2 linked regions of the Oryzias latipes genome follow. The protein of the gene in region 1 interacts with the protein of each later gene in a pairwise test. Links are inferred from orthologs where the notes say so. Each region holds a gene or a part of one and is shown in the gene's direction. Other genes may lie near its edges.

Region 1 (3,765 bases):
TGCTGCGGGAGCAGGGCCAGTGGGATGAGGATCTGCTTGAAAGCCGAGTCGTGGAAACCCTTGATCAGCGGACAGAAGTCTACCAGTACGTCAGGAACACCATGGCTCCACATCCCACAAGAGACCATGTGGTGCTCAGGTAGACCTTCTCCTCATCTCATCCTGGTCTTTACTTTCTATTTTACATTGTTGTTCAATGTAATGCTACTTTCCAATACATGGTTATGTGACCACTTACAATGAAAGTCTATGTAAACGCATATATATGCACGTTCAAAACTCTCGCATTCACTCAAGTTTTTAAGTCCGTTTATAATAATTACGGTTTGTGCCCAGCTGGAATTGAATCGGTTAGTCCAAAAGGGGCCCAAGTCCAAGAGGTTTGTTTTTCCAGGAAATTATTTTAATTGCATAGCTTAAATGGAGGCTACACCAAATGATTAATACTTTACCCAGATTTAGCACCAGTTCATAGCTTACAAATGCTATAATTTTATAATTTCAGAGGACTAGCAAACTAAAGTCTCTGGACTTGGGCCCTTCTTGAATTAAACAGGGGCGCTGCCATATTGGATGACTAGTGCTGCCATCTATGGGATAAAGCAAAACCAGTGCAAGAGAGGCCCAAGTCCAGGAATTTTACACTTAATGCATTTTAAATGTAAAGCATAGTCAATATATTACAACGGACTTGGGACTTTTTTGCACATAATCAGATAGCTTTTCCCTTGAAGACCATAGAACATATAATATCTCTATTTTGAAAAATTGTGGACTGGGGCCCCTTTTGAATTAACCAATTCAATTCTATGACACCAAGTCTTTCAGATATCTAAATAGAGCTATGAAAGAAAAAGCCTGAAACAAGATTTGTGAGATTTGCACCACTTTATCATTTGGCACCAAGCCTCTTCCAATGCTAGTATTGGGTAGTGGCAGTCCAGTGTGAACACCATATGCTAAATTCACATTCAAGTGCAGGTTCCGCGTTCTTGAGCACGCATCGCATGCGCCTCTGTGCACATTGCATAACACTTTATCCAACCTTTGTGTTGTCCTCCAGGACTTGGGTGACAGATCTGCCGAAGGGAGCGTGTGCACTCGTGAGTTCATCTGTGGACCATGATGGGGCGCCGATGGTAGGCGTCCGGGCCAACGTCCTTACATCACGCTACTTCATAGAGCCTTGCGGGGCCAACAAATCGAGACTTACACACATTTCAAGAGTTGACTGCAGGTGGGCATAATGTTACACTATTTTATAAAACTAGCCTTACAGTGCACTTCGAGTCACTGATTTATTCATCAAACATGCAAATCTTTCTTCTCTCCAGGGGTCGTTTCCCGGAGTGGTACAATAAGCTTTATGGACACTTGTGTGCTGCTGAGGTGGCACGGATTCGGGAATCCTTCTCTGTGCCCATGGACAAATAAGAGAGCAGCACGCCGTTTTGACTGGAATGCCTTGTTTCAACAAAATACAGATGAAGTGAAAGTCTCTTGATCCTTTGATAAACATAAACCAGGATTAAAGGAACTGTTTTCTTCAAAACAGACTGCTTTTCCCTTTAAAACTGGGACTGCCAAGAGGACTAACAGAACTAGCTGGGCCTCGGGACGTTATGTTTCTGACACGGGATGTTTTGCCTCCGACTTAATTTAAAACGGCGTTATCGCTTCTGAGAAGCAAGGGGGATCTCAAGTGGGAGTGAAAGGAGGGACATGGGAAAAGCCAAAAACGTATATCTAAATAAATAAATAAAATTGTATGGGTTGTTGTTGTGGTTCCCCCAGGAACAGAATAATATGTACATATACTGTAGTGTGCTCTGGTCGCGTAGAGCCAGTCGGTGTCCGCTTTGTGTTACCTCCGTCCCCTTCTCTGTTACAGCAAAGCACAGGAAGAAAAGGAGACGTTATTATAGCGAGCTGATAGACAAATCTATGGGTGTCGAAAGATGCGAATGTGCTGGTAGTTTGCAGACTGAGTGAGGCCAATAAACAGGATATCGTGAGATGACAGGTGGCCTATAGTACACAAGGTTTTAGTGTTTCAGTGTGGAGGCAGAGGAGTATTGGTGGCTGGTTCACCAAAATGAAATGACTGATCAAAGAAAGGACATAATTGACTGGAAGACAAATAAAAGGAAAAATCTCTTTCAGCCATGCCTCATCCAATAGTTTGATCGAGGTTGCTTTTGATCAGGAAAATCGGGTTTCAACGTTGAAATACAAAGCCAAAATGCTTAAAAGTTTGAAATCTACAAGAAAATCCTGTTGACATTTAAAGGGCCAAATGAATAAAGGATGAAAAGTTTTTGATATTGATACTGATACCTGTAGAGCACAGCACATTTATTTTACTTAAAAAAGGTAAAAAGAAAAAAGACAAGAAAGGGCAAAAGTTATGATTGCTTTTACATCAAACAAGCACAGAAGACGCAATTATCTGACTTTGAACATTAATTTCTCTCTGCACGGAAAGGTAACCTGAGGAAAAAAGAGGTCCTTTTATAAAGGTGGGGATTTTACAGGTTTTACTGTATAGAGGAGGGCAGATTGAATGTGTAGATTTTTAAAGGAAGGACAAATATTCTGCAAAGATTCTGTGTTTTAAACCAAGATTGAAACATTTCTTTGGCTGTAACAGTTGCGCTTCAGTCTGTTCATGTTACGTGTATCATAAATTCACTAAACCGTTGTTCACATCGTAAATGTTTTTAGCTGTAACTGTGTCTCTGCCAAATAATAATGCATGACAATGACAGTTAATTTAAAGCAAATATATTTATACCTCAGATATATGTTTGTTTTTGTTTTTATATCATTTATTTTATTGTATTGTATACGTAAAACTCTGTGTTACAAAAAGTTTTATCTTTTTTAATAATATTATTTCTGTACAGGTTAATCAAAATGCACTATTAAATGTATTAAACTAACTGTTTTATGTGCTTTTTGCTATGCATATAGGAACCATGCAAGAAAGTTAAGTCTGTCACTATTTTTGTTTTCCTTTTCTAATCCATCATAATTTCTACTGTCACTTGTTTATGATTAACTTTGTTTCAAGTAATTACACCCGCTCTCATTTAATCTGAATGCAGATCTCTCTTCCTGTGACTGTATTTCGGTGTCTCATGACTCCATTCCACACCAGTGGATCTGTTATTGGCCCCGAGGGGTCTGGACGATGGTGATCTCACTCCATATGGTTCATACAAAGGTATTAGAAAGCAGACGGCTCTGCTGTGCCTCAGCCGACCTGGTCGAGACAAGGCAAGGATTCTGAAAAGAAGGGGAGGAGGGCTGTCATGTTTTAAACAAAAGGGGGCTTTGAAGGATCTGAACAGGTTCTGATGTGCCTCTTCATGTTTTCAGTCACTAAGTCACAAAGTGACATGCTGTCATCTTTTTTTCTGGAAAACAGGGTCTGGGGGTTTGCTGCCCTTGTTTTGTAATGCACTGCTCCTCAACAAACAGAAGACTTTTTGCAAACCTTGAACACGTTCTGATTTACTTCCAACATGTTCTGTGACAGCAAAAACAGGTTCTAACATGACTTATAGGTCTTGGCAAAGACAAATCTGTTTTATGATAGCATCATGAAGTACTTGGGCAGAGGCAGAGATCATCTAGAGCTTTGTAAGGATCAAACACAAGTGGAGCCAAATGTTTTTTGCACTCTTTTATCTTTACATTTTCCACTTTACTCCTTTAATAAAACAAAACATCTCCAAGAGTATGTTCTCAGACTTCCCACCT
Region 2 (3,927 bases), on another chromosome or scaffold:
ATGGACAATTATAAGTCAAGCAAAATTGTGCTCTGGAGTCGAATAACATTTCAGATTTTTACCTAGATTAAAGTATTTAGATCCTTGGCTAGGCTGTCAAGCAGTTATCACAAGAGTATCAACTAATTGTGTCATTACTTTAAGAAAATGTTATTTTCTCTTTGTTGGTTAAATTGTATGTTTTCTTGTTTTATCACCACTGCAATTTATCAAAGGTGTATTAAAAATAACATAACATTTTTATTGTTTGTGGGAAAAAAAGACACTGGTCAAAAATATGAGCATGTTCTGAACAAATGTATAAATTTTAGAGAATGAGAATGAACAAAAACATCTGTAAACGCTATATGTTGCAAAAGGATAATTGTGATTTTTTTTTTTTGAATATGTGTGCATAGTTATAACGTTTGGCAGGCTGAAGTTTTATCACATTGATTGCACAGAGTAACAAAATAAAATCTAATGCTAAACAAATGTTAAAGATGTTACAAATTAATCATTTTATAAATCTATCAATTAGAAAAAAAGAAGCCCTAATGGGACAATATACAATGGAAAAATCATGACTTTAATGCTTTTTTCCCCTTCTTTTTTATGCTTTTGTGTTTATGCGAATAATTATTATATGTTTAATATGTAAAAATGTATGCATAAAAAATAATAATCTTAGGGGTGGCAATTAATATTATTTTCTTCTACCCACTCCTTTTTCAGGGCATTTAGCACTTTCTATTTATCATATGTATCTATTTCCTTTTATTTTGTGTTTGAAAATAAAAGGAAATTAACCAATCAATCCAAACATGAGACCCCTAAAATGAACGTTTAAGGCAGAGGGGGGGCGTTCAAAGCTCTGATAATGTTTGGTATAATGTTCCACCATCTGGAACCCTGAATACAAAAAAAAATCATTGTGAGTATTGATTTTAGAAGCGATTGATATTTCTTAGAGCTCTGCCCTTTTATGAATGTGTTTGAAGAGCTGGTTCCCAGCATGGAGTCTCTCTATTAAACTGGAATTACTAGTTTGAATCTGAATCCTTGAAGCCATGACCGCTCCTAGCAAATAGCAAGTTTACAAAGTAAACTATACTTGCGTATAAGTATAACAGAAAGTATACTATGGACCATGTACTGTAGGAAATATAGGCTTCTAACTTAACACTTTTTCAGACTAAATTGGAACATTAAAAGTCTACACAGTATTAAAATAGTATATAAAAGGTAAACTTTAAATAGATTGTCTCACTTTAAATACAGACTAAATTTTTGCAAAGTCTAGCCGAGACCCTAACTTTTGAGAAAACAGCAGCTGCAAGACAAACACATAAATGAAGCTTAGTTGTTCAAATCAGCACTTAAAGTAATATTTTTTTAAAGAAAAGTGACTCAGGCATGACACTAGATGTAAAAAAAAACAAACTCATTACATTTTAATAGTTGGCATTAAACTTGGGCAGAAACCAACACAATTGTTGTGTCAAAAACGAGGTTCAGTTTGCTGTGATTATTTTGCAAAAGTGTGTATTAAATTGGATTTTAGCAGTGCAGCAGCCCACTCCGTGGGACGATTGAAGATGTCATGGACCGAACATGGCCAGCTCTGCGTTCAATTAGCCGCGCCTGTTCGGGACTGGACGAGAGCGGCAGAGGGAGGGGTGAGCGAACAGCGCAGCAGCGGCGGCGGCCAACAAGCCACCAGCTCCAAGAAAAAGAAATAAACGCCAACTTCGCCTCTGCGTAGGGCAAAACCATACTTTGTGAAGTCCCTTTATTACTACCATGGGAAATACTACCTTCCTGGGGACCTAAACGACAAGGAGTCGTTTATGGACTGGATTTTTAGACGGCTCCGAACTCAGAAGGAAAGAAAACAACACTGGGGAAAACGGGTATTATTACACACTCAACAGTGACAATAAAACATTTTTTCGACAAGTGGTCCGCCTGGTGCCGAGGGTGAGGTTAAAATTGGAAAACGGCGAAACTGTATTTTTTTCTTTTCTTTCTAGGATAAACCGTGGATTTTCTCGGTGGCGTTTCTGTGTGAACTTTAAACTTGGGAAACAATGGAGACAGCGAGCACAAACTCATGAAGTGTCTTGAGGCTGCCAGCCGTCCCGCTAGCGTTAGCTTTACTGTCTTATTGGGTAATGCGTGGTGAGGCTAACGGCCGCTGCAGCTAAGTTAGCTGTCGGCTAACGCTAGCTGGTTAGCCCGGCGCGGTTTTCAGAAACTTTTTGGGTTGTTTCCACGGAGTTCAGACGCTGAATAATTCGTCTGAGGACAGAGGGGAAGGGCGGGTTCCCTTTGGTACTTTCCTCCCTCCACTCACTTTCATACATGATGGCTGCGGAGGTCAGCGGGGAAGAAACCGTCACATCAGGGGTGGCAGGCGGAGGAGGCCCGGAGACGGCCCCTTTCCCCTACTACTCCAAGCCAAGTAGAGTGGGAGTCACCGATCTGGGACAAGGTCCGACACAAACTCTCCGTCAATTTTCAAACACCTCTCCGGACTCAGTCCCCGACATGAGCATAATGTATCCCGCCTCTGCTGGGGACATGCCAGCTTCAGCAACAGGAGGAGGTGGTGGACAGTCAGGTTTTCCTCGAACAAACTCAGGGACCGTGAGCAGCACGTGCCACTCTCCCAATTCGGAGGATTCAACGAGCCAGTTTTCACCCACATATAAAGGCCCAGATAGCCCCACTGCCTTCCCCCCGCTGCCCCCGCCACCCCCAGCCCCAGCAGGCTGCGCTGGGCACGGCGTCACCATGGATGAAAGCGATATGCAGGATGGGCCGGAATGTGAGGACGACGAGGTGCTGCTTGAACTGTCTGCACCACCTACGAACCAGTAAGTGCAGTCCTTTTACTTTTATGTTAAAAGTTATTTTCTGTTGAACCTTCCAGTAGATCTGGTCAGTTCTTCTTATTCTCCAAACAACCATTAGGATAATAATCTTTTATTTCCACCAGGTTAATAAGTAACAAATAACAAAATGTCAATGTTGGCAAACACGTTTTCAGCTTCTTAACATGGCCCCTTAATATAAACTATTCAAATCAATAAACACAGGTGCTTACAAAAGAAATATTGATTTCTTGTTTTGGGGAAATGCAAATTACTTGGGGCAAGGCGCATCAGATTGTTTTGAAACTGGATGCACTTTTACATTTATAATTGTAATGACTTCCCCTCCACACCCACACGAACACACACTGTAACCCATAAATGTCAAAAGATAAGAGATCCTATTGAATCACTGTTATTTTCTTATGTAACCAGACATATGATCATTGACCAGTACCTTAACATTATCAGATTCTTTTTTCCACACGTCCAGTATGTGTTGACATGAGATGTGTATTTATAAGAGGAATGGAGGTCTCTATGAAACTATAATAGTGAATAAAAATAGAACTATTCACATAAGGAAACTGTTTAATAGTTCTAAACGCAGTGAAATGCGTACTGTTTCACCCAAATATCTATAAAGTGTATGATGAAGTAGTTAATGTCAGGTCTGACTCTTTTGTTGCGCTTACTTGAATGTTAGTGGAGTGATCCAAAGAAAGAATAGAGAACTTAAGCAGTTAACCCACAGGACTATTTAAAATCCCTTATCATTTATAATGTTTTGTTTTGCACTGGGTACATCTGCTGAAGTGACTTTCAGTTGCAGATAAACAGAAAACCTCATCCTGTTGCAAAACTTTAGTGCTGGGAAGTCCACAAGTATAAGAATAGCATTAATATTTATTAGAGTAACTAAATGTATGAATCAACATATGAATATCAATCAAAATATATTTGTTTTCATTTTAATTTATTTTTTGGTACAGTCTAAAATTCATGAGTATCCAATATGCAGAGTCTACTGCAGCACAAATTCAAAACATTACAAAGTAGAGGTGGAGAATCT

The links.
Region 2: the proteins of rho GTPase-activating protein 7 (region 1) and rasa1 interact in binary tests that used the Homo sapiens proteins (3 or more experiments, as listed by UniProt). The link is inferred for Oryzias latipes from reciprocal best matches to the Homo sapiens genes DLC1 and RASA1.

What each region holds. Positions count from the first base shown.
Region 1 is NC_019859.2:13,855,069-13,858,833, reverse strand, and holds the end of rho GTPase-activating protein 7, read left to right. Parts: coding exon 1-139; intron 140-1,063; coding exon 1,064-1,237; intron 1,238-1,334; coding exon 1,335-1,434; 3' UTR 1,435-2,942; downstream 2,943-3,765. UniProt on the Homo sapiens protein: Functions as a GTPase-activating protein for the small GTPases RHOA, RHOB, RHOC and CDC42, terminating their downstream signaling.
Region 2 is NC_019867.2:14,730,171-14,734,097, forward strand, and holds the start of rasa1 (ras GTPase-activating protein 1), read left to right. Parts: upstream 1-1,637; 5' UTR 1,638-1,892; intron 1,893-2,012; 5' UTR 2,013-2,343; coding exon 2,344-2,858; intron 2,859-3,927. UniProt on the Homo sapiens protein: Inhibitory regulator of the Ras-cyclic AMP pathway. Stimulates the GTPase of normal but not oncogenic Ras p21; this stimulation may be further increased in the presence of NCK1.